3 linked regions of the Diceros bicornis minor genome follow. The protein of the gene in region 2 interacts with the protein of the main gene of each other region in a pairwise test. Links are inferred from orthologs where the notes say so. Each region holds a gene or a part of one and is shown on either strand. Other genes may lie near its edges. The genes, in order: PRKCI, PARD6B and CEP76.

Region 1 (11,125 bases), on a different chromosome or scaffold from region 2:
AATGGATGTTAGCTCAGGGCTGATCTTCCTCACAAAAAACTAAATCAATAAAAATAAATAAATAAAAAAGAACCTCTGTAAAATTATTTAAAACAAAAAAAAGAACAAACCTCTTCTTTCATGTGTTTTTTGTATTAACATTGTGCTACTTTATACTTTAAGAATTAAAGTATAATTTCTTATCAGGAAATCCTTATCAGGTAAAGCAAACCATTATTTTTGTCTTATAGATAAGAAAAATGAAGCAAAGTGGTATTGTTCAGTGTCAACAGACATTATTGAAACCCTATTATGTACTAGATGCAGGGGACACAGAGATGAACAAATTACACTCCCAGCCTTGTGAACATGCCAGCAAAAATATAAACTCTGATACTGTGCAATACATTGTAACTGATACATAAACAGAGTGTAGAGCAGGAGTACAGAGGAAGAGGAAAAATGAAGAGAATGGGTACCTAACAGCCTGGGGAGCAGAGGTGAGTTTGTCAAAGGTTCCTAGAGAGGGCATTTCAGACTAAGCAGAGGGTACTACATATACAAAGACGGGAATACGTGTCATTGGCATCAATCGTCATTGGGAGCAGAGGTGAGTTTGTAAATGCCCTTCCTAGTTTGCAAATGCCCTCCTATATGCATAACTCATTGTGCCTTATATCTATTTCAATTGCATCACATTGACTTTAAAAATTAATGTCAGAGCACTTCCAGAATAGAGACATGAGCTCCCTGTATACTCTCCCCAATGAAACAACCATAACTGGTGAAAATTATAAACAAAAAACTATCATGGGATCAGACTGTGAAACAGTTTATGTCCCAGGGCATTGTTAAAAACACTGGGACAATCAGTTGCCAATTAGCGGAGGCTAACAGCTGGGAGTGATATCAATAAAGGCCAACCAGCCAAAAGCTTGGTAGGGAGATGAAAGAAAGAGATGGTCAAAGAGAACTTGCCTAAAATCACTGTCATCCCCCAGGGGAGGGAAATGGAGTTAGGGTGACAGTGTGCATGCCAAAGCTACACCCTCTGAGGAGACACATCAGAGGCTGCACACTGTAGGGGAAATAGACTTTACTGAACTAGTCTGGCCAAGTCACTAAACAAATAAACAAGCAAACAACAACAACAATGACAACAAGCCCTGGAACCAGTCTCGATCAGTCTCTGGTATTGCTACAATGGATATGTATAGTTTGCAACAAAAAATTAAGAGTCATAAAAAGAAACAGGCAATTGGGACCCATACACACAGAAACTGCCTTTGAGAAGACACAGATGTTGGACTTAGCAGACTAAGACTTCAAAGCAGCTATTATACAACTAAAGGAAACCACGCTTATGAGTATAAATTCAAAATTCCTCAACAAAATATTAGCAAAGTGAATCCAGCAACATATAAAAAGGATTATATGTTATAAGCAAGTGGGATTTGTCCCAGGATTGCAAGGTTGGCTTACATCCAAAAGTCAGTTAATGTAACATATCATACCAATAGAATGAGAGACAGAACCACGATTATTTCAGTAGACACTGAAAAAGCACTAAAAAAAATCCCAACACCCTTTCATAATAAAAATAGTCAATAAACCAGAAGTAGAATGGAATTTCCTCCACCTGACAAAGGGCATCTACAAAAAAATGTAGAGCAACCATTACATTTAATGGTGAAAGACTGAAAACTATCCACATAAGATTGAGAATAAGACAAGGATGTTTACACTCTCTTCTTATTCAAGATAGTATTAGAGGTCCTAGCTAATGCAATCAGGCAAGAAAAAATAATAAAAGGCATCCAGATTGGAAAGGAAGATGTAAATCAATCTGTCTTCTAAAATGGCATAATCATGTATATAGGAAATTCTAAGGAATCCACCAAAACACTATTAGTACTAATAAAAGAGTTCAGCAAGCTTGGAGGATACAAGATATATGTAAAATCAATTGTATGTCTATACACTAGCAATGAATAATCAAAAATGAAATTAGGATGGGAATGTAAATTGGTGCAGCCACTGTGGAAAACAGTATGGAGGTTCCTCAAAAAATTAAGACTAGAACTACCATATGATCCAGCAATCCCATTTCTGGGTATTTATCTGAAGAAAACAAAAACACCTAACTTGAAAAGATATCTGCACCCCCATGTTCATTGCAGCATTATTTACAATAGCCAAGACATGGAGACAACCTGAGTGTCCATCAATGGATGAATGGATATAGAAAAGATGGTATATATACACAATAGAATATTATTCAGCCATAAAAAAGAAGGAAATCCTGCCATTTGTGATAACATGGATGGACCTTGAGGGCATTATGCTAAGTGAATTAAGTTAGAGAAAGACAAATACCATATGATTTGCACTTATATGTAGAATCTGAAAAAAACTCTGAACTTATAGATACAGAGAACAGATTGGTGGTTGCCAGAGGTGAAGGGTGGCGGGGCGGGGGTGAGAGAAGTGGGTGAAGGTGGTAGAAAGGTATAAACTTCCATATATAAAATAAATAAGCCCTGGGGATATAATGTACTGCTGCGTGGTGACTATAGTTAATGATACTGTATTGTATATTTGAAAGTTGCTAAGAGGTAAACCTTAAAAGTTCTCATTACAGGAAAAAAATTTGTAACTGTGTGGTGATGGATGCCAGCTAGACTTATTATGGTGATCATTTTGCAATATATACAAATATTGAATCATTATGTTGTACACCTGAAACTAATATAATGTTATATGTCTATTATATCTCAATAAAAAAATGAAAGTAAAAAAGATCTTGATGCCCAGGACCCCACCCTGAGGTTCTGTTTCAAATGGTCTGAGATGCTCCCCTACCACCACCAACATAGCTTGTAAAAGTTGTCCCGGCAATTCTCATGTGTAGCCAGAGCTAAAAGCTACTGATGTCAGAACCATTTTCTGTACTTATAGGCTAAATCAAATTCTAAAACCTCATGAAATTAACATACTTCAAAGTAATTATATCTCAAGCATTTTAGGATTCCAGGCTATAAAAGAGTAAAATGCTCATTTAGAATGATTGAATGAAAAAATTAAAGAGAAAAAAAAGAAATTAAGAAAACAATTCCACTTATAATAGCATCAAAAAGAATAAAATACTTAGGAATAAGTTTAACAAAAGAAATGCAAAACGTTTACTCTGAAAACTATAAAGGATTGTTGAAAGAAATTAAAGATCTAAATACATGGGAAGACATCTTAGGTAGGAAGGCTATATACTGTTGACATGACAATACTCCACACAATGATCTACAGATTCAACGCAATCTCTATCGAAATCCCAGCAGGCTATTTTGAAAAGATTGACAAATGGAAATATAAGGAACCCAGAATAGTCAAAACAATTTTGAATGAAAAACAGAGTTGTAGGGGCCAGCCTGGTGGCACAAGCGGTTAGGTGCGCGCGCTCTGCTGCGGCAGTCCGGGGTTCGCGGGTTCAGATCCCAGGCGCGCACCGACGCACCACTTGTCAAGCTGTGCTGTGGTGGCGTCCCACATAAAGTGGAGGAGGATGGGCATGGATGTTAGCTCAGGGCCGATCTTCCTCACACACACACAAAAAAAAACAGTTGTAAGACTCAAACTTCTCTGTGTTAAAAGTTACTACAAAACCACAGTAATGAAAACAGTGTGATTCTTGCATAAGGTTAGATATATAGATCAATGGAATAGAATTGAGACTTCAGAAATAAACTCTTACATTTTGGTCAACTGATTTTTGACAAGGGTGCAAGAGAATTAAATGAGGAAAAAATAGGCTTTTCAACAAACAGTGCTGGGACAACTGGATATCGACATGCAAAGAAATGAATCTGGACCACTTACATTACACACAAAAATTAACTCAATATAGATCATAGACCTAAATGTAAGAGTTAAACTATAAAACTCTTAGGAGAAAACATAGATGTAAATCTTCATGACCTTGGGTTAGACAAAGGCTTCTTAGACATCACGCCAAAGCATAAGCAACAACAACAACAAAATAGATAAATTTGAGTTCATCAAAATTAAAAACTTTTGTGCTGCAAATTATACCACCAAGAAATGAAAAGATATGCACAGAATAGGAGAAAATATTTGAAATCATCTAACAAGGGACTTGTTTCCAGAATATATATAGAACTCTTACAACTCGGTGAAGGAGACATATCACCCAATTTAAAAATGGCCAAAGAATTTAAATAGATATTTCTCCAAAGGAAATACACAAACGGACAATAAAAACATGAAAAGATGCTCAACATCGTTAGTCATTAGGGAAATCCAAATCAAAATCACAATGAGATACCACATTCCCAACCACTAGGATGGTTATAATGAAGAAGACAGGCAATAACATGTGTTGGCGAGGATGTAAAGAAATTGGAACCCTCATACACGGCTGGTACAAATGAAATGATGCAGCCACTTTGGAAACAGTTTGGCATTCTCTTAAGATGTTAAACATAGAGTTACCATATGACTTAGCAATTCTACTCTTAGGTATATATACCCAAGAGAATTAAAAACATATTTCACACAAAAACTTATACATGAATGTTCATAGCAGCATTAATGTGGAATACCCATACAATGAAATATTATTCAGCCATATATAGAAATGAAGAACTAAAATATGATACAGCATGGATGAACTTCAAAAACATTAAGCTAAGTAAAAGAAGCCGGTCACAAAAGGCCACATATTCTATGATTTCATTCATAGGAAATGTCCAGAATAGGAAAATCCATAGCGACAGTAAATACATTACTGGTTGCCAGAGGCTAAGGAGAATGGGTAGTTGCTGCTAATACATGTGTAGTTTCTTTTTGCCAGGGTGAACATGTTCTGAAATTAGATTGTGGTGATGATTGCATAACTTTGTGAATATTCTAAAATCTATTGAATAGTACACTTTAAATGAATGAATTGTATGTTATGTGAATTATATCTCCATAATGCTGTTAAAAAAATTAAGCTCATGCTTTCCCTGAGCTTTCATCACTTGGAATACAAAAACTTATTTATATGGTGGGATTGATGCAAATTATCAATATTTACAGATTCTTATTGATGACAAAGTAAGCAATAAGCCTCCTCTGAAAACAATGATTACTTTCAAAGAATGCTACGAGGCCAATGCTGAAGGATTTTTCAAACTTCTAAGGAATAAGAATCCAAAATAAGCTTTTCCTGCCTTGCCTTTCTTTTTTTTTTTTAATAATTTTATTTATTTATTTTTCCCCCAAAGCCCCAGTAGATAGCTGTATATCATAGCTGCATATCCTTCTAGTTGCTATATGTGGGATGCGGCCTCAGCATGGCTGGAGAAGCGGCGCGTCGGTTTGTGCCTGGGATCTGAACCCCGGGCCGGCAGAAGCAGAGCGCGCTCACTCAACCACTGAGCCACGGGGCTGGCCCCATGCATTGCCTTTCTAAATTCTTACTTCCCGTATAACATAAATTTCCTTTTCTAGAGGATTATATAATCTTTCAAATTTGTCACAAGCATATTAAATTTTCCATTAATCCAATTAAAATTTCACAATCCCACTTTAGAAATAGTTTATATTCCACAGTTAATTCGTATTTAACATGCTGATGCAGATCCTCAGTTGCCAAAAACCTTGATACCAAGTCTTCCAATGGAATTTTTATTAAGAGCGTATAATTCAAGTTTATAGCAGTTGAAGGACATCCTACCAGGCTGCGTCACACATAACTCCAATGAGTCAATCCCCCACGCCTAAAGAAAGTTATTTCTTTGATTATTCCAACCCTTTTAGTATGTGTTGGTACCAGGACTGATGCAGGGGCTGGATTCACGCTACCTGTACTTGCAATATGTGACAGAGCCAAGACCAGTGGAACGTCAGAGACTAGGCTACAAGGACGGATGCTTTATAATCCTTGGGTAGCCGGTGTTAACAGAAAAAATGATGATGGATGGATGGATGGATGAATGATTAATTGAACAAATATTCATTGTGCACCCGTTCCATGCAATGTCAACATACAGGGGCCTAGATATGGGGGCTGCGAAGGAAGAAAAGTCAGTCTTCCATCATATCTTCTAGTTGAGTTTCCTCCTTTATTACATTCATTATTACATTTGTTACATATATTATGAAATTCTTTCCACAAAAGAAGCTGTGCTGAGCAGGTAACCAAATTCTTGTTCCCCAAAAAGGCACTGTATAATTGAGATGATTTATGCAATCGGAAGGGATCAGAGAACAAAGTCTAGAATGTGACAAAGCCCAATCATTTCCAGTGACCTCAGACGCCCAGGCTGGATTCAGGATTTCCACGCCGACGGCTCCTAGGGCGCAAGGTGGAGACAGACTCTGTCAGCGAGAAGGCGGGGCGCTCTACACGTAAAGATCCTCAAGTCCCAGAATCCCACGGAAACTTCAAATCCCAGAAGCCCACCGGGCAAATCTACTCGGAGTGCCAAGTCGGCTGACCGCGGATGCGACCAAGTTAGGAAACTGGGGTGAGATGCCGCAGTGTTTGTCCCCTACCATTTTCCCTGCGGGGAGGGGGCTTTTTACAGAACTATAGTTACCCGAACCTTCGCGTTCTCTCAGTCACAGCTTCCACGAAAGGCCCCCTCCCGCGTGTTTGAATGACAGTGAGCGTCTCCCGTTCTCTCCTCCTTTTCTTGCCCCCCGAATGAATGGTTCAGCCGGACATGAGGCTCCTTGAGTGGGATCGATGGTTGCGCCCGCCCTCCCCCGGAATGTGGGCCTTTGGAGCGAGCCAGGTGGGAGGGACCGGGGCGGGGAGGCGTGCTGGGCCCGGGCGGCGGGGGAGGCAGTGGCGGCCGCGGGCTGTGGGAGGAGCCGCGCGGTTCCGGCTGCCCCGGCGAGGCGACCCTTGGGTCCGCGCCGCGGGCGGGGAGGACAGGTAGGTGAGCGGGCAGCCGCGGCTCTGGGAGAGGCTCGGGCAGCGGAGTCCCTCACGGCGCTCGGCGCGCCCCCCGCACCCTCGGCCTCCGGCGTTGAGGCGGGGGGGGTCAGGAGATGCCGACCCAGAGGGACAGCAGTACCATGTCTCACCCGATCGCGGGCGGCGGCAGCGGGGACCATTCTCACCAGGTCCGGGTGAAAGCCTACTACCGCGGGTGAGTGTCTCGGAGTAGAGGTGGGGGGTAGGGGTCGGGGGAAAGGCCAGCTGGACTTAGCCTGGAGGAGGGGAGCATGAGGGGCTGGAGATGTTGTGGGCGGGTTGGTGTGGGCGGACGACTCTTGGGACTTGGGATGGGTGACCGGGTGGTCGAGGGAGCAGCATGGGGTGCTGGATTGGGGCACCCCCAAAGTATGGTGCAGGGCTCCCGGGAGTCGCGTGGCTGAGGGTCCGGAGTAGGGTCCGAGGGAGGAGCCTTGGAATAGCGTAGGTCCACCTGGTGGATTCGAGCGACTTGCCTACTAACAGATTTACAGGGCTTTACGTCCTTAAATCTGGGTGTATTTGGGGTTGAGAGTTGATTCCGAGTGATGCCTCGGTTAACTAAGTTTGCACGCTGGGCTTAAAAGACAGGACTGCTTCAGTTTCCTGGTCCTTTTGATTACCAACAGGCCTAAAACTTCTGGTTCTCTAAGTCAGGTTTATCTTCATCGCCTAGATTTCACGAAGTGTATCTGGACTGTGGTCAGGCTGCCAGTGTATTAGACATAGGCGTTATTATTTAAGCGTAAAGCTGGTGCGTTTTCAGGGATGTGCATTCGGTACTTATGCCTCGCCACGATTAGGTTCCGTATGTATAAATTAAAATTTTGTGAATGCTTCTTTGTCAGTGTTGCTTCAAGGACTGCCCGATAGAGTGAGATATATTGCATGGGGAGAAGAGGACGAGCCTCGGCACAGTTTTCAAATCTGTGATCCTTACTCATATCATTACCTAAGTTATAACTCCTGTGGTTACCAGAAATAATCCAGTCCTAAAATCGTTGTATTAAATCATATTCTGTAATCAGTGACCTGAAGTGTCCCCCTTCCCTTGAATTCAGTTATGGTTTGGAATTTATTTGAGATAATTATATTTGGGAGTATTAGAAAGGTGAAATGTTAGTGTGAGCATAAAGGTTTGAAACTAAGGGTTAACAAAACCCCACGGCTTTGGCCTGTCTTACTGCTTGTCCAAGCAGAAGTAAATTGTTTTAAAAAACTCAGGCACTAGGAGGTTGAAACTGCAGTGCATACTTTTAAATTCCTGAGAGGATCAGTGAAGATAGCACACTTTCAAAATGCCTCTCTTGTTTTGATTTCAAAGAAAATATAAGCCCCTAAATGTCTTATTGATTTGATGTAAAGACTTACTAGTTTGCTGCTATGAAGCCTCTGACCCTGTTTATCCGCTTGATTGTATTAGGAGTAGTTTATACGGGTTATTTTGGACAGTATCAGTGTTCGGGTAAATTGATCAAAGAGGTCTTGATTTTAAAACAATACCAAGTAGCGTGTGTATGTTTTTTAAAAGATTTTAGTTGTGACAAGAGCTGTTTTGACTTGAGGATGGTCAGCAATGAGCTTTGCACCAGGGGAAAAAAGCTTTGCTTTTTTAATTTGGTAGGTGAGATATTTCACTCTAGAAAGTGTTCCATTCTATAAAGATGACAATTCGGGCCGGCCCCGTGGCTTAGTGGTTAAGTGCGCGCGCTCTGCTGCTGGTGGCCCGGGTTCGGATCCCGGGCGCGCACGGACGCACTGCTTGTCTGGCCATGCTGAGGCCACGTCCCACATACAGCAACTAGAAGGATATGCAACTGTGACATACAACTATCTACTGGGGCTTTGGGGGAAAAAATAAATAAATAAAATTATTTAAGATGACAATTCATGAGTTGTTAGGTATGGAGAATGAAATATAGTGCATGTTCTTTTTTTTAAGATTCCTGATTCTTGACAGTTTAAAAAACTAGATTAAAAAATGAATATACACACAAAGTAGGAAAGTGCAAATTGTATAGGAGTATAAAATAAGAAGTGTCCCTCATCTCCTCCTCCCAACCTCCAGAGATAACTACTGCTGACAGTTATTTCTGGTTCTTCTGGAGGTTTCCTTCATTACTTTACAAGTTATACTTCTGTTTCATGATTTATCAACTTTAGATAGTATCTATTGATTCCTTCCTCTGAGAGATGAGAAATTGGGTGGACACTACCTTTTGCTTCCTCTCCTTCTGGTGCCTCTCAATTTTTGATTGTTAAACTCTTATTTTTTAGTTCTCCGGTCTACTTTTATGACTTTAAATAATATAAATTCTTGACTTATAAAATTTAGATAGTTTCGGATGATTCCAACTATGAAAGATGAAGAAACCAGTCCTTCTTCCCTTTTTCCCATTTTTATTAGCTTGACAAATGTAAATAGGCCTAGTTAGTAAATGAAAATCATTGTAAGCATTTCCTTTGGAAAGAAACCAAAGTCGGCTTGCTATACTTTAGGAATGTAGGTATCATATTTTCTTGGCTTATTGCCCTAATTATTTAAAAAAAGTGAATAAGGGCATAGAACCCTTTTAGTGCTTGACTAAAATTTCTCCAAGACATTCAAGTTTACATTTTCTTTGTTTTTTTAAAACCTATGAATTTTTGCTAAGAAATGAAAGAATCAATCCCTTGCTCTTTAGTGCTTTTTAGTCAATGAAAGCTTTCTAATAGTGCTTTCATTTCAAGCCTCATTTAAGGACAACATCAGCACTTTGTAAATTGTACCGATTTCTGTCCTCTGAAATTAGATCTGTTAAGATTATATGTTTATTAACAATAGTCTAAACTGATGGTTATGATATTACAGAGTCAGCTGCTCATTACTACAGATGAAACTAAAATGAGTCAGCACTGAGGATAGGTAATAAACAGGTTGGCTACCTAGATCACCTACCTGATTTGAAAATAGAAAATTCTTCCTTTATATCAAGAAATGTAAGGACAATCTGCATTTGAAAAATTTTCCCTCAGATCTTCTGAATGGCCATTTTCAGAGAGCTTTCCCTTTATCCCCTTCTAACAGTATTTCTTTCCAGCAAATGTTTAATCTCGGAATAGCCAGAATATTTTAGTGAATAAATTGCCCTCTCCTTTCAAAGATGTGTATAGTGTTCTCATTCTGTTAAATTTGTTCTTAGTGCAAATGTGCTGTCTCCGTACATATAATAGACATTTAATTAGATTTTTTCTAGTTTTTAAGCAGGAGATTAACAGCACTGAGAGTCTGATTTTATTGGAGACCACCTAAGAGTGCCTGTCTCACAGCCTGTACCCTTCTTTCTTCGCCACCAGAGCTTGTCAGTGAGTGGCCCGCCTTCTTCAATCATTACCTAGTAGTGTTAGTGTGGAGGAAGAGAAACAGGTTCTGTTGGTTAGTGATAGATTGCCATTGTATGTGCTTATCCTTATATAAAGTTACTTGATATTATGGGATAGAATTTCACAAGGAAATGTCTGGACTCTTCATTTCTTGACATTATAAATGTATGGGAAATTTTGCAAAAAACTTGTAAAAATGCTTTTTAAACCACTATTGAGCAGTTATAACAATCCAGAAGATTCTTTCTGTGCCATTTACAGATAAAAGGAGATTGTTAACTCTTTGCACATTTGGAATGTATAGCTGGTTCAGGGAAGAAGTGTGAAGGATTTTTCTCACTGTGAACAAGTCTTGGCGAGACTTGGCTTTAAAAGTATTGCAAAATAATTTTAGCAATATACTTTAGTAATTGTTCTAAAGAAATAAAAATAGTATATTGAGTTGCGAGTTGGGGGAATGTGAGCTGTTGGTCCTGGAACTTCTGATATGGCACCTCACCATAGGGCAGCTGATCCGTAGCTTTACCAGAGAGAGAGAAAGAACATGATGGCCTGGTGCCAGAAACCAAAACCAAAACAACCCTCTCAGAAATTTGGATTAGATAATATGGAGATAAATTGCATCTTAGCAGTGAGGACTGAAGCCGCAGAGTTGAGAGAGAGGCTGGTGAAGCCAGGGCTGACCATGTGCAAACTAAAGGAAAAAGAAGCAGCACTCTACGAAAAAATTCTCCCTAGAGGTCTATGATAGCTTTCTAACACAACTCCCAACCCCCTTTTTAAGGTAACTTGAGTGTTTGT
Region 2 (10,637 bases):
GCAAGACTCATTAATTTGCTGCCCACAGTGCCTACCTCCTTGGTAGATTATTAAAACACAAATCCGATCCTTTCACTGCCCTGTTTTAAACACTTTAGGAGTCTGCCAGCACCAACTGGAGAAAGCATAAACCCCACCGTGGGCCTTCGGGGCCCTTCTCATCTGAGCCCCACCTACTTCTCCAGCCCCCCCCCCCACGTCCAGAGAAGCCCCCACCCCGCACACGCCCACGGCCCACTCCACGGCTCAGGGAACACACCGTGTTCTCTCCCCGCCCCCACACCTCTCCCTGGAATGCCTCCTCCCGCGTCCCCCTCCATGCCTCTAGCAAACTCCTACTCATTCTTCTGCCCTAGCTCTAACTGAAGTCCCTTCATCCGTGAAGCACTCCAGACCCCCACCCTCCTCCAGGCTGACTCAGTCATTCTCTCTTTTCTGCTCCCACCCCCTTTCGTACCCTGGCCTTAGCACTGAGTAATGGCTCAAAATAGCAGCTGGGGTCTTCCGAGTACTTGCCGTGTGCCAGGCACGGAGTGAGCCTGATCGCTTTCAGTCCTCACCCCAGGCTGCGCCCCAGCCTGGAAGGCTCCCTCATCCCCGCAACCCCTGGCCCCCCACGGAGAAGCCTGGGGATCGCTCTCACCCCCCAGCTTTCCTGAGAGGCCGTCCCTGGCACCCCATCTGAAGTTTTCTTTCTCCTTCCACACCTCAGCCCCGCCCCCAGGCCTCCCCATCCCCTTCCCTGCTTTACTTTCCTGCATGGCTCTTATCACTAAGGCACTACATACCTTAATTAATTAATTGTGTATTCCGTCTCTCCCCCTGGAATGTGTGCTCCAGGAGGACAGCGACTTTGTCCCGTCTTCTTTACGACCGCATCCTCACCATCTAGATTAGTGCCTGGCACATAATAGACACTCACTATATTTATTAATTCAAAGAAGGCAGATAGTGTTACTATCTTCAGTTTTCTCCCAAAAAAATGGTCTTTAGAGAGACTAAGACAGGTGTCCAGAGTTCCACAGCTGGTTGGTGGTAGAGACCGATGTCAGCTCCAACAATCCGGCCCCCCTCCCAACTACAGCGCTCATCGCTTCCAGAAGACGCCTCTGGCAGGTCTGACTTCTCAGCCAGACCCAAGGTCCTTGGAGGCAAGAACTCTGTCATATTCATATTTGTGTTTCCTTGCCTGATGCTTGCTGGTTGCTCAAGGGTATTTGCTGAACCAATCTATGTGTGACCTGGGAAGTGCTGATGGTAGGAATCACATCTTCATTCTTTTATTTTTTTATTATCTTTTATCTCTATGCCAAGGACACTGTTATATACATAGTTGAGGCTTAATAAATACTTATTACATTAATGAATTCTCTTATGGAAGTAGGTAATAAAAATAATTAGGTAACGTTTACAGAGTCCTTACTCTGTGCTGGGTCCTATCCTAAGTGCTTTGTACATGAATAAAGACAATTAATTCTTTTCTTGTCCTCATTTTACAGATGAGGAAATGGAGGCTCAGAAAAGTTAAGTACTTGCCCAAGGTCACACAGCTACAAAATGGCAGAGGCAGGATTTGAATGTAGGCAGCTGGGAGCCACATAATGACTCCTGTAGGCTGCATCTCAGCCCCTGTAACTATGAGGTATCCATTAAAAGGTCACCCTGTGCTAAAACAAGAAGAATGGTTTATCACACATTTCTGTTTTCTTTCAAGGAATTTCTTGAAATTCTACCAAAGGCTTTGGTAGGCAATATTATTTGCTAAATAATAACCACTAACATTCGCACCACGCTTGATGGATTGCAGAGAAGTGTCACGTATAGTTTCTCATCTGATCCCTGCAACAACGCCATGAGGTGGTCAGTACCATCTGATTTTATAGACGAGGAATCTGAGGCTCTGAGTGGTTAAAGGAACAGGGTCAAGGTCACGTAGCCAGCAAGGAGCAGAGCCAGGGCTCAAATTAATATCTATCACCTAAAAAAATACCAAGATCTGAGTGCCTTCAAATTTAAACCTCTTTCATGTTACTTAAAAGTAAATAAAATAATCCACGGGAAAGCACAGAGCACAGTTCCTGGCACCAGGTCAGACCCTCATAAATGTTAGTTAGTTATCATCATTTTCATCAACACCTCCTAGGAACTGGCATATTTCAGCTGATGAGTGCAGCATGTCTGTTGACTCTGATGGAAAGATTACCCTACTCATTCCAGTTCATCCCTGGTAATGTTGAAATGATGATCAATCTCCATTATCCCTGGGGTACCATAGCATGTGAAGAGCTGGAAGGGACTGTGGAGATGATCTCATCCGGTGCCTGCATTTACAGATGGAGACGTTGAATCCCAGAGAGGGCAAAGGTCAAACCCCTCAAGGGCAGGGCTCACGCACAATGCCTGGCACATACTGCCTCCCACGAAGATGAGTTTTTACCTGAAAGGGCATCTAGCTTCTTAAAGGCTCCAGGAGATAATTCTTTAGCACTCCCACCCCACCCCCACACAAAGTACTAACATGTTATAAGCTATTAACCAGAAAATAGATCATGTGACTTAATTCCACCTCTGCAAAAGGGCTTAAAATGCTTTGGTGAGTCGTCTGAGATTCATAAATATACACTTCAGCTCTTTCTCAGAGAATTATTAACCAGCTCCATCAAAAAGGGAACTTGAGCAGTCAAGGAGAAAAAGAGCTGGTAAGAGAAACTTCTTGAAAAAAATCTCACCACTATTATACATGGTTTCTTGCCACCTCTTTCTTTTTTTTTTCCCTAAGAATTGGAGGAGGAAGGAAAAAGTATCATTGTGTAAGACAAGAATCAATAAAAAATAATTGTGGAAAATTACAAACTCTTTCCACTTCGCAAGGTAGATACCGAACAAACACAACAGTTGTGTTACGTCGTAGAAGAATGTAAAGACAGAAAGTATTGAACGGGAAGATAAAGCAGAAATGTCACCCAGACTAGCTTCTTTCAGAGGGTAGAGATGGGCCAGAGAGATCTGACAGTGTGTGGGTGTAATAATCAGTGGCAGCCCATTCCCAACTAATGAGTTTGTGAACCTATAATTTATAGAGTCCATGTCACACACTCACCTTACTCATCCCCCTAACTCACTGAGTATGAATCCTCCCAGGCACGGGACTAGCTTTTCATCCCACACGTAGGTCCTGATCAGCTTTAACTTGAGGATTTGGGGGTGGGGAGGGGTGATGGAGAGAAATGAGATTAGGGTTCAGTCTTCAAACCAAAGAAAGAGGAAGATAAACTCCTCTATGCCATTTCTCCAGGCTTCATGCTTCTCAAGAAAGGCTGAAATTCAGGCCCCGCGAGCAAACTTGTGGCCATAACAGCTCTTGGGATGAAAGGGTTCCCCTCCTCCACAACACCTTTATCAAATTCAAGCTATTTTCCACATTCCTGCCTTACACAACCCAGGCGCACTTGTGACGCAGGCCGAAGAGCAAATTCCGCTCAGGAGATCCAGGAAGCTCTGGTCTGGCCCTCCCTTCTAGAAAGGAAAGTCCAAGTAAAGAGGGATGCCACACCCGGGGGAGGGGAGAGAGGACGTGACAATACCTCCAGGAATGCAGGGCCCACACAGGTGCGCTGGCACCCACGAACTTCCTTTTGAAAAGGGCCTGATAAATCAGTACGGATAACAGTAATAAAGCTCAACCCAACAATCGCTCACATAGAACTGGGGCCCTCGCTCCCAGGGTGTGGCCCCAGCAACTGGAGAGAGGAGGGTGGCAGTGGAGAATACAGATCCCTAAAAGTGGTGACATGGTTCTAGGGAGCGGTTCTCAAAGTGCGGTCCCTGAGGCCTTTTCAGGGGATTCTCAGAGCCAAAACTATTTTCACAATACTAAGATGTCACTTGCTCTCCTGACCCTCATTGTCTCACAGGTATATGATGGAGTTTTCCAGAAGGGACATGATATGTGATATCATCACCCTGATGACTACAGGAATGTGTGCTTGTATATTCTTGTGTTTTACAAATTTTTCAGTTTTAATTCTAATACGATGCATACTGAAAGACATAACACACATAAACAAAATACTTGGGGGCCCTCCATAATTTTTAAGAGTATCAAGGGGTCTTGAGACCAAACTGTCACGCTCCCCCATCACAGGACCACACTTCATTTCCAGCTCAGCTTGAGTCACCGAGCAGGTGCTTTAAACAGGGGGTGGAGGAGGCAGCCTTATTATTTAGCTTGGGGTGTTATCCCTTCCATCCGTACTTCCACCCAAAACAGCCAGAAACACCATAAATTCTCCCACAAACATTTGGTGAACTGAACCACTCAGGGGGAAAGATGGGTTTCTCACCTTTGAACTCAGGTGGGGCAACGTTAGCACAGAGAAACCACACTCCCTCAGCTCCAGCACCCAGCAAAGGCATATCTGAGTACCTGCTGGGAGTCAGGTACCAGGCTACATGCTGACAGTGAGCAAAGCAGATGTGGCCCTCGCCTTCTCAGAGCTTCCATCCTAGGGCAGAGGTGGATGACTCCTGGAAAACATGGGAAAACTGGGACTTGTCACAAGTGCTGGGAAGGAGGGGTGCGAGGTGTCAGGAGGGACGTGAAGTGGGCAGGAGATGAGGGGAGCAAGGCCCTGAGGACTCAGGTGGAAGGCAGCACCCTAACCAGCTCTTCTTGGCCGTCTGGGATTAGAAACCCCGCCCACACGCCCAGGCCCGGCTACAGGAGGGCTCAACAGCTCTGATGAGCGGTCCCACCGGTGAGCCCTTCTGCAGGGTGGGGGGACTTGCGGGTCTCCTCCTCACCGCCCCAGCACGGCCAGTGCTAAACAGGGTCCCTCTGAGGAGGCACTGGGGCATTTAGAGAGAAAGATTTAGTCTTTTGTTATCAGGGAAACGAAGACAATCCAAAGGCTGTTATTGGTGAGAAACAGCAAATAGCCAAGAAAGGGCTAGAGGAAGGGGAGAAGACTTCAGAAGTTAAAAATAAATAAAAAAGAAGAAAAGAAAAACAGAAAGCCCTGGAGGGCTGGTCTAGGAGAAGTCCTCAGGGAAGGCGGACTTGCGAGGAGCGAGGAGCCATCCCGGGCCTCAGCTCACTTTCCCTCCCTTCCAGCGCCCGCTCGACCCCTTGGGACCTCAGGGACGAGACGGAAGAGTGTCTACGGACAAAACCACGCCAGGAGAGCCCTGAGGTTCTCCCCAGTAACTGCTGCAGGAGCGAGAAAACTGGAATTTTGCAACCACAGTTGCAACCAGACGCCTAAACGACGCAAAGGGGTGGTGGAGGAACATTGTTGCAGGCTGCAACAGCCCTAAGTGGAAAGGGGAGCGGGGGAGGCCGGAACCCACCAGCCCCGCCACGTCCCCGCAACCTGCCAGGCCCCGCGTTCCATCACCCAGCCGGGCGCGAGCTCCCGCCGGGACCCGGGCAACCAGGCGCGCGCCCGCGCGTGCGCACAAGGCCCACCCGCCCCGCTCGCCTCCAGGTGCGCTCGCGCTTCCGGCCGGCCGTCCCCGGGCGGAAACCCCACAGCCCGCGCATGCGCTCTGCTGCTAGGTCGGGGAGGAGGCCCACGGCTTCAGGTGATCCCGCCCCTCCCTCGCAGCGCGGGACCAATCGCGCGGCTGTGGGCGGGATTTTCGCGAAGGCGGCCCGCCCACACGCGGCGCGAGGCGTGTATCGATTGGTTGGCGCCGTGGGCGCAGGTGCGCGCTTCCTATTGGGTGTGGGCGGGGCGCGAGCCGCGGAGGCTTCCGCGCAGGCTGCAGGTGAGCGCGCGCACGCGCCGCGGCTCCCGCCCGGCTCGAGTGCGCGCGCGCGGGCTGGCGGGGGAGGCGGCCGAGAGCGAGGCTGCGGCCCCGTGCCCTCTGCCCCGCCCCCTCCTCCTCCTCCGCCTCCGCCCCCTCATCCTCCGTCGCGGCCGCCGCCGAGGCCCGAGGGAGGGAGCCGCGTCCCCGCCCGCCGCGCCTGCAGTCCGACCCTCGGTCCCGCCGCGCGAGGAGCCAGCCGAGCGGAGCTGTGCGCCGAGACCGAGCCGCGGCCGCCCCGCCGCAGGTGCCTGTGAGACGCGCCCGGGCCGCAGCGCGTCCGCCGCCGGCCGCGCGCTCGCTGCCCGCGCTCCCGCCGGGCGGCCCGGCCTCAGCATGAACCGCGGCCACCGGCCCGGGGCGGGCGGCGGCTGCCTGGGCACCATGGAGGTGAAGAGCAAGGTGCGCGGGGCCCGGGCGGGGCGGGGCGGGCCGGCCGGGGGGCCGGGGAGCTGCCGCGGGGTCGGGGGCGGGGCGGGGCGCGGTGGCGCGGCTCGCAGGCGGCAGATGGTGGATGGTGAACTTGCGGAGAAGGGGCTAGGGAGGGGCCGCGTGTCTGCCCCTGCCCGGGTGCGAAGACCGGCGGAGCGCCTGATCGCGGTCCTGGTCGAGGACGGGAGGAAGGGCCGGGGGTCCGCGAGGGCGGGAGGCTTGGAGCGCGGCGTGCAGCGAAAGGTCGGGGGGGTTCTCCCTCCCGGCCTGTGAGTACGAGGTATTGGAAACACCCGTTCCGCAAGATGTTCCCCCTCTCTGGGGTGCGGGAGTGCATCGAGTGGGTCGCCCAGGGACGGAAAGAGCGCTTTTAAAGTTAGCTTTGCCTCTTGCTGGGGATTTTTCTAGCACTAACTTTGGTATGCATTTAATCTAGAAAATTAACGCTATCGCCTTTCCTTCGAGTAGCACTTTACAGTTTGGGTCTGGATGCTCTTTTCATTCCATCCTGCCACCTTTTCACATCAAGTGTTTTCATTCTAGGCCAGCGGTATGCCAATCTGCTGATAATTACGTCGGTATCTACTGAATTCCTAAATTGCAAGGCTGTCTGAGCAGGAGGATAGTCTGTGGGGATTAGTTCGGGAATGCTTTCCAAAGGGGGTTTTGAACTGGAATTTGAAGGTGATCGGCAGCCACGGGAACATTTTCAGTGAGCATTTCATGAATTGAAGAGCCAGAGGGAGCTTAGATAATCTAGTCTGTTTCTCCAAGAAGACAGAGGCTCAGAAAGGTTATGACTTAGCCAAGCTCTGCTTTTATGATGAAATCTTAAAGCCTTTTTTACAGAGTAACTTTTAGGCGTATAGAATACAAAAGAGAGGACATTGGCTGGGCCCTGAAAACATTTGAAATAGAGTTGGGAAGACCAAAACACATAAAAGAGTAGGAGAAAAGTAAAAGCATATCAGCTTCAAAAAATGGAATATCATTGAATGTGTACTTAGGGAGAATGCAAAATCAAGGAGTGATTTTAAGTGATAGAGTAAAGCTCCCCGCAGCCTGTGGTAGAATGGTTTTTATTATCTGGAATTGATAAGCAAAGTTCTGTAAGTTGCTGAAACTGAGATTATTCCTTCCAGAATATCTACATTCATTTTTAACATCATTTTACAGTGTTGTTTGCAACTTAACTCATGTATCAGGAGAGGCAGTAGTTTCAGAACCCATTCGGTTTAATAAGAATAGAAATGTAATGATAGCAATTTAAGCAATATGCTCTGCCCTGTGTCCTCTGTGGAACTGCCATAGCAAATTGAAGTGACATCGTTGAACTGAGAGATAAGATGACTCAAAATGTATAGAGGTTTTCCCTTAGCAGTGTAGTGGCGGTAGTGGTTCCATGCCCAATAGTTGAGCCTTGTCGTGGCATTTCTGTAATACATTTACTTTGGGCTTGTGGGAGTTGAGGTTAAGAAAAGAAAAACACTTGTGATATTGCGTAATCTTAAAATTCAGTTTGTGGTCCTAATCTTGGTAGTTAAGCCTCTAATTTTTTTATCATAAGAAAACATGAGTAGGGATTTTAGGTGCACTGATTAATACAGTCAAATAGTAATTTATCTCTCAGACTAGGAAACCTTGAGCACTTGGGGACTGGAATTGCAGGCTTTCTGCCCTTCTCTTCTGTCATCTGATCTGTGAATATTTCCCATACTTATGTCTAAACTACATGTTATATATTTGACCTGCCATACTGCGCTTTTAGTGAACCATGTCTTGTAAGAGAATCAAGGCAGTCTGAGAACCTGCACCGAATGAAGTGTGGTCCCACTGTTCTAGCTGTTCATAAATAGGCTCAGTATACGTATTGTTTCTAGGGTGTCTGTGATACCTCACGTTCGAAATATATATTGTTGATACATTTATTTTTAGTGGATTAAATGAAACACTTGTCATCTTGACCATTTGAAATACTTGGTCAGATGTTGGAAACAGTATTTCCCTTTTCACTGCTTTAATGATGTCACAAGCTTTTTACAAAACTGGTGGCTAAGAGATCGTAACCACAACTAGGTGATGTGCAGATTCACATTTCAGAATCTCTTTTTCTTCTGTAGAGAAAACAGTAGTATGAACTTTATTATCTTTGCTCGTGGAAGGGGAGATGGTACAAATAATCAAAGTAATGGATAATGCAGAAGTAACTATAGTTAAATTGTGATACCAGCTACCGTGTCACTTTTCTTTGGTAACTGATTTATCTTGTTTCTCTTGAGTCGGGAGTTCTTAATCAATCATCAAGGTGGTGTCCTTTAAGAACCTTGGAACAGTCTTTGAGCTGTACGTTTCCTAATTATTTTTCCTGGGCAAACAGGATATTCAAATAAAGTTTGCATTTCTACAGTGTACCCACATCTTGGGAGAAGGGTGTCCATACGCATTCTGGGTGGCCAGGACAAACTAGACCAGCCTAAAAAAAGTTGTAAATGGTTTACATAGTGAAGAATTGTTGATTGGGTCTTAATTTGATCTCTCTCTTCCTGTTTTTCTTGATGTAGTGAAAAGTTCTCTTCATCCTCTTGTTGTGCTACAAGAAGCATAACAATTTCTCTTGTTGTTTTTCTGCTAACGTTTGCTAAAGGGCACATCTACGGTGAAGCCATACAGTTTTCCATTGTTTCTATCATAACATTTAAGCAAGAGAAAAAAATGCTGAGCAAAGAATTTTCATCCAGAAGCTTTAGCAAAAGCATTGAAGCCCAGAATGTTCAATTATTAGATGTTGCTCCTGTTTATGTGTCCAGGGAAGTGATAAACCCTGGGATGAATCAGAAAGCCCTCAGAACTTGGTGATGTGATACCAGAATAAGGAAAATGGAGGAGAAACTATGACTTTTGATAACATCATAAGACTAACTCTGATAGGAAGGGTGTTCCCGAGTTTTTATTTACTTTGAAACGTGAAGGTGTGACTAAACTTCTTGGGCGATTTAGGTATGAGTCACCTTATTTTCTTGACAAATGTTAGTGTTTATAATTCAGGAATGTGTTTTGGAATCTTTTAATTATTTATTAGAGGTAAGAGGTGGGTTTAGTGAGTTTTAATTTTAATTTAAAACTGGTGAGTTGTGTGGGTATAAGCAAGGCAGATGGACTTAGATACAGCAAAAGCAGTGAGTCCAGATGTCCCGGAGGGTCCTTGGGAAAATGAATTGACATTTGTAACCTGCTCAGGTTATTCTGATAGGGACTTTCCCTGCATGATGCTTAAGGCTATCTTAGTGGTACATTAGTATTTCTTGCTAATAATAGATATTTAGAGGGAAAATGAGTTTAGTGGTCAAACACACATGGCAAACATTTGTTTAAAAATTCTTTTTAAAAAATCCACCGCAGGACTTAACCAAGCCTTTGATATCTGGTCCCCACAGTGATTCCTAGGCGTGTGGTTATAGTTATGTAGCATTTCCCAAACTTATGTGACTGGGACGCTTTTTGAGGAAGGCTGATTAACCTGTCTGAGGTTTCTGCATTTGAGGAAATGCCATGCTAGTCCCACGGTAAGTCACAGATCCTGTTTGTTATGGACTAGATGAAGCCAGTCCTTAGTGTCGAGTAAGAGCCACTTTAATAATTCGTCATTTGGAGAGCAGAGATGTGATTCTAGAGTAGTAAGGCCGACCTGAGAATCAGAATTGTGATGATAAATATTGGCCATGATGGAGGTGCTATCATCTCTGTTTATGTGATCCTTTAATACCTCACTGAAGTAATTATTCCCTTCACCCACTAATTGGTGAGCTTCTGTGCAGGCCCGAGCCTTTCAGTCTCTAGGGCCTAGCACTGTGCCAAGCACATAAACACTCCTTGTGTTAATTGGGTGGTTGGAGGACATATATTTGATGTATTGATAAAGCTGCTTTTTTCAGCACTAACACAGAGAAGATGCTTCTCATCTCTAGACCTATTTCTTATATGGTGTACTTCCATTTTCATCGTAGCCTAATACCAAGAAGCTCAAAGTCCTTTTTGTATATGTTGCTGTTCTTTCTTGCCATTTCCTGTGAAATCGTAATTGCCTTTATGGGGGAGGAAACTTAGATGCTTTTTGCTAACGGTCAAAATCAGATCTTGGGCACGTCTGCATTCCCCCGCGATGCACTGAGTGAGGAGAGTGCTGCTGTCGGGATCCGAGCCCCAGGCAGGGTTTGAGCTGAGTCACTCGGCAGGACAGTCCCCAGTGAGGCGCAGGGACCCCAGGGGTGGAGTTGAGGCTGCGTCTCTTAAAGGGAGTGCCCTCCAGAGATGCAGCAGTGAGAAGGCACGTTCCTCCACCTTTCTTAGGCTCTTTTATCTCCAGATAAATGAGCTTTCTCACAACAGACTGTGTCACT
Region 3 (10,980 bases), on a different chromosome or scaffold from region 2:
AAAAATGAAATAACATGATAGTTAAAATGGAGGAGTTACACAAGTGAAATTATTAATGATAAAAAATTAAGATTGAATTATGAGACTTTTATATCTAAATATTTTCAAAAATTAAAATATAGAACATATGCACTATATCATTTGGTTAAAATAAAACATATTAGAAGTACCTTAAAAGGCATCCGTGGGCTTTATTCTATGAAATATTCATTTCTGAAAAGTTAACTGTAAGAAAATATCAAAAATTATTTTTCTTCTGACTTTGATTGTAAAACCAGAGAAGTATTCCCCTGGAAACTTCTGGCATTATGACGAATAAAATCATTCTTAAGAATGTTTTGGGGCCGGTGCCATGGCTTAGCGGTTAAGTGCACGCGCTCCGCTGCTGGCGGCCTGGGTTCGGATCCCGGGCGCGCACTGACACACCGCTTCTCCGGCCATGCTGAGGCCACGTCCCACATACAGCAACTAGAAGGATGTGCAGCTATGACGTACAACTATCTACTGGGGCTTTGGGGGAAAAATAAATAAATAAATAAAATCTTTAAAAAAAAAAAAAAAGAATGTTTTGGTTTCTCATATTCTCCCCTCTTCTTTCTAGAGAAATTTTCTGTGAATCAATGTATATGCATTTTTTCTGGGAAAAGGATCTATAATTTTCATTAAATTCTACAAGGGGCCCACTTTACTGATGCTTAAGATGTTCCTGCCCAACTTCACCTCCAAGAATGAGAAGCTCTGATATGAACCAAAGACAAAATATAGAGTCTCTAAGGGACACATGATTAGGTCATTGTGCTAAGGGGTAAGCTTTTAGTACTATAAAAAGATTACAACTAACCCCAGACGCAGGCAAATCCTTTGGTGGATCATGTCTCTCCTGTTACAGGTCTTTTGGGGAATGTCCCCCTGGACTGCTGTGGTGTGGTGTGAGGTGACTGGGGGCTACGAAGCATCAGCAAGTCTAGTGACCACTATGTATGTTCAGGGCAAAGGAGGCTAGAGCAGGAAGTTTAGGCGTTAGGGAAAAGGGACTAAGGCACAGGCCACTCAGGCCTCTAATCTATCTCTGACATACACATACAACAGACCTAGTCGGAAGAGGATATATCTGTAGGGAGTGGGCAGGCTAAGCTTTAAAATGTAAGATACACCACCTTCTATAACAGTAATACTCATCTTCTCCATCAGTGTATCATGCACTTCTTTTTTGTTATTAACATCCTGTTTCCCAGTACTTTTTCTTCTGATGTGATGCAACATCACCTCTCACGTAGTCCCACCAAAAATATTTAGTTTTTATCTAATCAAGGCTTTAGACCTAACTCCAGTTACATAAAATACAGGGACCAGAAGAACAAGCCAAATGACACCAGAAGGATGTAATCAGACAAATGCAGAAAGGGGGACATTCTATAGGACAATGGGTCCAGTTTTTTCTTCAATAAATCAGTTTTGTGAAGAAGGAAAAAAAAGAAAGAGACTACTCTAAAGTAAAAGAGACTTCAAAGGCACAACAATCAGATGTACTACGGGTCCTGGTTTAGACAAGCTAACTCGAAAGGACATTTTGGGGTGAAATGGGCCAATCTGAATATGGATAGGATATAGGAAGATATTAAGAAATTGCTAATTTTGTTAACTGCGATGATATTTTGGCTATGTAAGAAAACATTCTTAAAAGATAAGAGATGCACACTTACATATTTGGGGGTGGAATGACATGATGTCTATAATTTACTTCAAAATACCTCATCTTAAAAAGAAAAGGCAGATTAAAGAACTATACCCAACTGACCTGCTGCCAGTTTGTGTCAGAGGAAAGCCGGGGGGTCCATTAGCAGGGTGGGGTGGTGCTTAAGAGGCAGGGCTCAGGGGCCAGACTGGCTTGAGTAGAAGCTCAGTTACACGAATTATTAATCACATGGCCTTAACTTGTGTCCAATGGTTTCCTCAACTACAAAACTACCTATGGAGTAGCAGTGAGGATTAAACTAATCAATACATGTAATTACACAAGATGGTCAGCTGATAGGAAATACTCAATAAATGATAGCTGTTATCAACAGTGAAAGAATGTAAATTCTAGTTCTACCATTTATAGTCCTTATCCTTTAAGAAATAGCTGAAATTCAGTCTTGTGTTAACAAAGCCATCTGTCCTGCAGGAATTTCAATATTAAGGTTATTTCTTGAAAGTATATTTCATTATCGCAACCTAATGACATGGTTAATAAAACTGACAAAAAATAAAACGCTTCTTCACTTGTCTTTAACTCCACCAATGGTTTTTCATGTTCCTCTATCACTTCTGGCTTTCACCTTAAAATGGTAAACAGAAGACAGAGAGGCCAACAGAGCAGTCAGCCATCGAATGAAGTGACTGATGCTCCTGGGCTTCAGGATCAACAGCTTTTCCCCTCACTCGGGGCAGTCCCACATCGTACACACAGTGGTCAGCGCAAAGGAAACTGTTCCCTGACTAACGAAGCTTGCTAGTCCAATGAGGAACTATGGAGATTTATGGTGTGGGAAAAGCATACACCTACTAGTAGTAGTAGGCAATTCAGTCTCTCTGAGCCTTACTGATACCATATTATTATGGATTCTATAAGAATGTGAGGGATGACTATGAGGCTTAGATGAGGCAGCACATATTAAACTCACAGGACTGAGCCCAGTGGAATTCTCTTTTCCCCTTTCCCTGGTATAGGTCATGCTTACATGTGCCAGTGGGAACAGAAAATAAAACTGAGGATAAAAGGGAAAAAAAACCCATGTTAAAAAATTGGAACTCTCAAATTCTACCCAAAGATACAAGTACAATCTCATCCCTCATAGGAGTTGCCATTTAGAAAAGGCTAAGAACTAAAACCAGGATGTAAGAGAATAGGACAATGTGACTGTATTGCAAATTCTGCACAAAACTGGCACTAAGTAATGTTTGCTACAAAACAGTATCTGTAGCCTCTATTTCTAATTTAAAACAACTCTACCTTGTAGTAGAATAAAACATGCAGAAGTCTTACATACCTTCAGCATTTGTACTGAGTTCTGTTGAATTTTCTTCTGCAGTTGCATACGGATTGTTTCCAACCATCGGCACAAGACAATCGGTATAGAAGTAACCAATCTTACACATACTCAGTGTAGAAATAATCACATCTACTGCAAGCTGGCCAACATTTCCAACAGACACAGCTGGCTGAAATAATAAAAATATGTTAAGTCATCAAAATTAGCAGCACTTTTAAAAGTTTAGACAGAAGACAGTAATCACAGCACTAGAACTGAACGCTTATGCTCAGGCACGTCACAGCTAGATACCCACTCTTTCATTAGCTGCAACTGAGGTGTCAGCAGGGCCTCCACCATCTTTGACACTATTGCTTTAACACTTACTGATGACCTATTATGTGTCAATCATTGCTCTAGGCACTGGGAATGCAGTAAAACAAATTGACAAAAGTTCCTGCCCTTGTGGAGTTTCCATTCTAGTGAGGGAGTGGTTTACTGTAAAAAACAAAATAAATAGTAAAATATACAGTGGTAAGTACTATGGAGAAAAATTAAGCGAGTGAGAGTGTGTGTTATGCGGTTGGTTGAAATTTTAAACAGAGTGATCAAGGAAAGACTCACTTCACGCGACAAGTAACTATGGACCTGCAAGAGGTGAGGGAGGGAGCCCCACAAAGACCAGGGAAAAGACTATTCCAGGCGGTGGGAAAGCAAGCGTAAAGGCTGTGAGGTATGAACAAAAGTGCTCTTGGGTCTTCTTTCCATTTGCTTTGTTAGTGCCTAAAGGTTGGAGTGAGCTTCTTTTCACACTAAACACACACACACACACATTTATCCCCATGACTTAAAGGTGAACTCCAGAGCCTAATGGGTATCTCCACATGGTTACGTCACAGGCAACTCACATTCAACATGTACAAAACCAAACTTTTATCCAAACTTCTTCCCATATTTTGTATTTTGTAATTCACCCAACTACCTAAACCAGGAACCTTCTTCCCTTTCCCTGACCACCCACATCTAATACACGACTAATTTTCCTTGACTCGCTCTTCACTGCATCTCTTTAATGTAGCGCCTCCTTTGCCTTCTTCCAGCAATTGCTTCTTTTTTGGCCTTCATCTTATTTTTCTGGGTCCCTGAGAGTGCTCTCTCACTTCTCACTGCTGTCACCTACTAATCCCCTGGTTCTCTCCTGTAATTCCCTTTCCTCTTCTCAAAGATTTTGCTGCTTTGGGTAGACCCTCACTCTCCTGTATCATCCATCTTTTCCTCACTATTGGATTCTTCCCGTCAGCATATACAAACGCTCTAATATCTTTCCTTCTAAAAAACTCTCCCTTGATCTCACATACCCCCTTAGCTACCACCTTACTTCTCAGTGTCCCTCCACAGCCAAAATTCCCCACAGCTGTCCACTAAAACATATGCAGGAGCTTTATCTCTGAATTAACGAGTGAATACGTACACATACACATCTCCACCTCTTCTCCCATTTATTCAACACAGTCCAGCGTGGCTTCCCTCTTCACCACTCCACTGATAACTGTCAACATTACCACCAATAATCTTTGAGACATTACTTTCGCTACGAAGCTTCCAGGTATCTCCCGCAAACATACTTTTTCCCTTTTGTGATTAATACATATGTTTCAGGGAGATACTTTGAAATGATGTAAAATTTTCTTCCTCAGTACTCTATTGCACATTATTTTTGGAATCATTGCTATTTCTTGTGTGCATTACTACAATGAAAATTGCCAAAAAGTGATTTTTCAATTACCATCACTTTTTTTTAAGTTGAGCTATAACTGACATATAACATTGTATCAGTTTTAAACACACAACACAACAATTTGATACACACATATACTGTGAAATGATTACCACAGTAAGTTTAGTTAACCTCCATCACCACACATAGTTACACATTTTTTTTTCTTGTAATGAGAACATTTAAGATCTACTCTCTTAGCAACTCTCAAGTATATAATACAGTACTGTTAACTATAGTCATCATGCTGTGCATTACATCCTCAGGACTTATTTGTAACTGGAGGTCCGTACCTTTTGATTACCTTCACCCATTTCACCCAACCACCCCCACCCACTCTGGCAACCACCAATCTGTTCTCTGTACCTACGAGTTTGTTGCTTCTTTTTTTTTTTTTTGAGATTCCACATATGAAGCTTTTCTTAACAGGTCCTTGTGACCCTCTTCCTCCCAATACATCTTAGGGCCTTTCTATATCCTTCTCAAATTTCTAGCTTAGCATTTATTGCCCTTATTGATTTACATGTGTTTCCAATTAGACTGCAAGCTTCTTGAGCACAAGGACCTAGTCTTATTCTAACATTTTCACATAACAGAATGTTTATTAAAACAATGAATGAATACGGGTAATTTTAAGAGCGATAAAACCGTGTGTTTACTAGCAAAACTTACTTTTATTACCCTATCTGTAGTTTTATGGTTAACGACGATGATTTGCTAGCTTAAGAATGACTCTAAAATTAGCTGAAAAAAGATTTCCTAGGATAAAACGTAAAGACAATGACCCGCACAACATATGTACAACGTATCTGTCACATCCAAACACATTACGTTCTACAGTCAACAAAGACTACAAACCGCAGACTTAGATACGTTTGGTGACAGCGCCAACAAAGGTTCTATTCGGACCGACGCCTCCAGCCACATCCTCCATATGTTTTCAGCGCAAGCTGAACACCTGGAAAAGAAACAAGTACTCCTCCAGGGCCGGGTGAAGCACCCCGAGTCGGGAAACAGGCGCCTCCGGAGGGGCAGCAGCCCCCAGCCGGGCAGTGGAGAGTTCGAGAAACCAGGGACTCACCATCAGGAGAGTGAAACCCGCGAAGTCGGGAACCGATTCTCCGCAGGGAACAAAATGGTGGTCCCGAAGTCGGAGGAACGGAGAAACCACGGGGGAGGAAAGAAAACGAAAACCGCAAATTCAGCACCGTGCCCCCGCGCGGAGTCCCCGGAGCCCCACGCGACGCGAGTGAGGCGGGGCGGGGCCAGGCGGGAGGGGCGGAGCCAGGCGGGCGGGGTCCTTCGAGTCCTTGGGCGCGGGGTCCTCAGGGGCCCGTCCACATACTTGCCGGTCCAGAGGACAGAATTGGACCCCGACAGGGTGAGAGTTGGGAGCGGGCGGCGCATCTGGAGACTCTGGCAAGGCAAGATGATGGGGTGCCCTGAGGTCGCGGGGTGAGGACCCCGAGGGAGGGGCAGCTGCGGGCGGAGATGATCAGGCAGAGCGAGGGACAGTCCCCAGGCTGGTTGTCCGCCCCCGTTTGAAAACAACAGTTGGGCACCTCCGCCGCCCAGCTCGCACTTGACGCGGCGTCGCGCCCCCGGGAGCTGCGGAGGCGAGCGGTGGCGCCGGCTTTGTGCTCAGCCACGACCAGCGCTCCGGGGCGGGTCGGGGCGCCTGAAGTGGGGAGAATTGGCGGCGAGGCGCCGGCTGCAGCATGTCCCTGCCCCCGGAGAAAGCCTCCGAGCTGAAGCAGCTCATCCACCAGCAGCTGAGCAAGGTGAGGGCAGCGGGCGCGCTCTTGCCCGCCGTGTGGCCTGAGCGCCCGGCCTGGCGTCCCTTGGCCCGGCCGACGGCGGCACCTGTTTGCCGGGGACTCGAGCAAAGGCTGAGACGCGGAGCGCGGGATGCGCAGAGCGTCGGGTTTGACGCCAGAGGAACTTTCTAGTCTCGGTGAAAGAGCGAGCCCAGAAAGTGCCAGTAAGAGTCTGAGGTGATGGAGCGGTGTTAGTGTCGTAGGACAGTGTGGAAATGAAGCGTTTATCGGGGATTTCTGGAAGTCAGGTCGAGTATAAGTTGTGTTTGGAGCAGGTTTATATTCAGAGGTGGGAATTAGAATTACTTTAAGGGTGAACCTTGCCGTGTCGTTGAAGTTGAAACAAATCAGCAGTTCTTAAGTCATGAAAGAGACGTTACTAAAGGATTTGTAATGAAAGTATTTGTGACCCTTCGGGGCTCAGGAAGAACGTTGTCTTGGAGGCGCTCAGCTGAATGCAGTAAGCTGCTGTACCACGAACTCCGTGTATTGTGCGCTTGTTTGCCGACTTTTGTGTACGCCTCACAGTCTTGACAGGGCACTGTTATTTCCCGATCCATAAAGGGTAAACAGGTTAACTGGAGGTCACATCTAGTAAGTTGAAAGCTGAAATTCATACTTTGATTGTCTTCTCCAGGTTTGTGTTATTTTGATTATACAGTATTCTCTCTCCAAAGATTTGTTTTGGTTGAGTGTTATTTGTGGGGAAATGGTAACGAGGGTAGTAGATAATCAGAGATTATTTCTAGAATTTGTACTAAAAAAAATTCATCTTTAAAAAATTTTTTCTTTGGTTTTTCCTTTAAAAGATTTTACCTTTATTCTCATTGAATTCTGGTAACAATTTTACATTTACTATTAGCTTAAGAAGCTTTCCTGAATTTAGTCTGTGTACTCTCCCATTTTTTTCTTTGAGTCAGTATTTTAGAAAGAAATTACCTAATTGGCAATATTTGATTGCTTTGTAATGTTGTAAATTGTAATGCGAGTTTTCTGCATAGATGGATGTCCATGGCAGAATAAGAGAAATCCTTGCTGAGACAATACGTGAAGAATTGGCACCTGATCAACAACAGTTATCAACAGATGATTTGATTAAAGCCCTTAGACGTCGGGGAATCATTGATGATGTGATGAAAGAACTTAATTTTGTTACTGTGAGTGAGCTTTTAGGGGAAAAAATTTGATAGTATAAGTGTATTCTCATGCTTAATGCTGGTTATAGGGTCTATATTTGGGGCCTCTCCTGTTAGTAAAACCACTTTAGAATAAGACCATTTTGTCTAGTAATATCTTTGAAGTATAAGCTAATTCTACCCTTGAATGTAGCAAGTAGGATTATGTATCAATGAAATTGGGGTTATGTACCATTTTCCTTTCTTTACAGTGACAGAATTTTCTCTTGTTATTCTCTAGGTCTATAACTTTAAGTATATATATTTTAGTCAAATTAGTTAGCCATAACCTAGTTCTTTTTCACTAGTATTGTTCTATAATTTTTTAGATTAAGCTTATTTTAAAAATAAATACACTCTTTTGGAACTATATTCTCTGTGATTAACAAATTATCAGTTTCTCTAAGAAAATAATTGTGTAAGAACCTTCAAATCTTTTCACACAAATAGGTCAGTAGTGAGATGGTAGCCTCTCAGTGCACAAATTAGTAAGTAGGCCTTCTTTTGAAAATGAGGCAATAATTAGAAACTGTGACCTCAATACCTGGGTAATATAATGTAAAAATTGGATGGACTTCATAATACGCCAGGGAATAAGTATTTTAATACAGCATCCTTTTTTGGTTTGTGACGTTTATAAACCCATTTGTTAAAAAATTGACCTAGTAACAGCTTCTGCTGTGTGAACGTCACTTCCTTATTAAAATCAATTCATGGTGGAATCATAAGCCAAATGTTATATGAGGTTAGAGAAAGTTTAACTTCGTTTAAGGTATTAAGGATTTGTTTTTAGCATTCCATGGACATTGCTGGAAGTCAACTTAATTCCTTAATATTAGACTTTGGGAGTGACCGGCTGCATCATCTTTTTTGCAGGCTTTTCGTTATTTTAATAATACTAGGAAAATAAAGGGTTTTTTGAGGGGCTTTAGCTTATCTACTTGTGGTTCAGTTCTAAGTCCCATTATTAGCATTTCCTTGTTTAACTATAATTTTTGTTTTTAACTTGTTTTGATTTTTTTCTGCTTTTTTAGGACAGTGTTGATCAAGAACTCCCTTCTTCTCCAAAACAACCTGTTTGTTTTACTGATAAACAGTCAACGTTGTTAAAAAAAAGTATGTGTATTTCTTGTTAACATTAATTTAGTTGTGGATAGTACTGTGGATAGATGTGGTGTAGTGTTTGGTATTTGATAGAAAGCATTTCAATTTTTTTCCCCAGAATGAAATACTTACATTTTTGTGACTAATCATCAAAATGTTTATTTGCATGAAGTATATCAGAAGATTTAATATATAGCAGAGTGGAAGCAAAAATAGGACCAGCTGTTTCTCGTGTTTTAATAATATATTTTATAAAAAGTATATGGCCTTGCTTTTTTAGTGGTAATATAATTGTCTAAGGACTATACTTGCTGAGTTGATAATTGTCTGAGTTGGTTTGTGGAGGTGAAGGAATGTTGGATAAGCAACTAAAAAGCAAAGGTATCCTAAACTTTTGCTCTGACTCCTTTCTAGCTGAGAGAAAGTAGCCAGAATGTAAACTCAGAAAAAGAGATCATATTATGTATCTTTCCTTCCCTGGGTGCAAATGGTCCTGATATATAGTAAATTTTTTGTTATTCTTTTTGTTTTTTTAGTCTTTGTTTTGTTTCTGTCCAGTTATTATTTCCTGTTGTCTTGATCACATTGCTTAAGATATTTGGCCGTTTCCTCATATATATTGCTACACTTTACAGCTAATATTGATCCAACACGGAGGTATCTTTACCTTCAGGTTTTGGGTGGAAAAGCTTTCTTGGAACATCTGCAAGAACCTGAGCCTTTACCCGGACAAGTTTGTTCAACCTTTACTTTATGTTTACATTTTCGAAACCAACGTTTTCGTTCTAAACCTGTTCCCTGTGCCTGTGAACCAGATTTTCATGATGGGTTTTTACTTGAAGTACACAGAGAAAGCTTAGGTAAGGAGCCATAATAAATTGTCATTTAATTGAGTAAATCTTTGTTATGTTTTGTTGTGGAACACCTATAACAACTTTTATTGTAAGGAGAGATTTATAAAGGATGAATCTCCCTAGTCTTTTATTTTTTCCCTCACTGCTCTTTTGTATATAAACTACTTCTATGCACCTTCTTGCTTTATTTTCTGCTAATTAGTTTCCTTGAGGATTATTTTTTGACTGTTTTAATGGTTGGTTCTTTAGTAATAAACATTTAAATGCCTATTGGGTACATGGTACTATGCTGGGCAAGTGCTGGGGATATAGTGGAGAATGAGACGTGATCCTTCTCATTTATGAAAGATAGCTAGATTTATGATGTTCTGTAACTTTTAAAAATCAAAGCTTAGATGTGAATTTATAACTCCCATTTTTATAACTTTAAAATTGTGATACTTGATTCCTGTAATTGTTTTACACTGTTTCTTTCTATAAAGGTATTTTATACATTTTAGTTGTCAATATAGAAATCTTTATATTTGTAAACTTAGCAAAGTTGTAGAATTATACCTTCAGAATTTTAGATTACTAAGACGGCTAATGCACTACCACAATCTATTATTCCCCCCACCACCCCTGGTGAAAAATATTACCCTAATAAGGCAGTTTATGACTTAAATTGCTAGCTCCAAGGTGCTGGATCTTTCAGTTTTGTGTAGATAATACAGTGATTATTTCCAGAGGTTTAGGGATAAAAGTAGTTTGGGGATTAATGTTGACCTAGTTGAAGGCTTTTTATCGTAGTAGCATATACTTTAGTTAAGTACTTTTAAAGAGCAGACTTCTCTCTTAGAAAACACTGATATGCATTAAGTAACTAGATAACTTGTCACAATTCTACCAGTCCTCTCAAAAGTTAGTGATAGAAATAGGACTGTACTTTTAATTTCAGTTGTTGCACGCTTTCTGAGATATTACCAAATTATTCTATTTGGTTTTGTATAAGTTTATTGGTAGTATCCTTTTCAGTAAAAGAATTTTTAATGTTGCCTAGCTGAATATGTAATATAGTGTAATTTTTTTTGGTTTATGTTGCTAGGTGATGGAACTAGAATGGCTGATTCAACAACAATGTTATCAATAAGTGATCCAATTCATATGGTGCTAATCAAAACAGACATATTTGGTGAGACCACTTTAGTAGCATCCTATTTTCTTGAATGGCGATCAGTTTTAGGCTCAGAAAATGGAGTG

What was found.
Region 1: the proteins of PARD6B (region 2) and PRKCI interact in binary tests that used the Homo sapiens proteins (3 or more experiments, as listed by UniProt). The link is inferred for Diceros bicornis minor from reciprocal best matches to the Homo sapiens genes PARD6B and PRKCI.
Region 3: the proteins of PARD6B (region 2) and CEP76 interact in binary tests that used the Homo sapiens proteins (3 or more experiments, as listed by UniProt). The two-hybrid records come from large-scale screens. The link is inferred for Diceros bicornis minor from reciprocal best matches to the Homo sapiens genes PARD6B and CEP76.

Annotation. Positions count from the first base shown.
Region 1 is NC_080754.1:51,658,102-51,669,226, reverse strand, and holds the start of PRKCI (protein kinase C iota type), read left to right. Parts: upstream 1-6,855; 5' UTR 6,856-7,035; coding exon 7,036-7,136; intron 7,137-11,125.
Region 2 is NC_080758.1:11,469,536-11,480,172, reverse strand, and holds the start of PARD6B (partitioning defective 6 homolog beta), read left to right. Parts: upstream 1-5,925; 5' UTR 5,926-6,144; coding exon 6,145-6,210; intron 6,211-10,637. UniProt on the Homo sapiens protein: Adapter protein involved in asymmetrical cell division and cell polarization processes. Probably involved in formation of epithelial tight junctions.
Region 3 is NC_080755.1:10,839,372-10,850,351, forward strand, and holds the start of CEP76 (centrosomal protein of 76 kDa), read left to right. Parts: upstream 1-6,298; 5' UTR 6,299-6,509; coding exon 6,510-6,572; intron 6,573-7,609; coding exon 7,610-7,765; intron 7,766-8,817; coding exon 8,818-8,899; intron 8,900-9,522; coding exon 9,523-9,747; intron 9,748-10,825; coding exon 10,826-10,980. UniProt on the Homo sapiens protein: Centrosomal protein involved in regulation of centriole duplication. Required to limit centriole duplication to once per cell cycle by preventing centriole reduplication.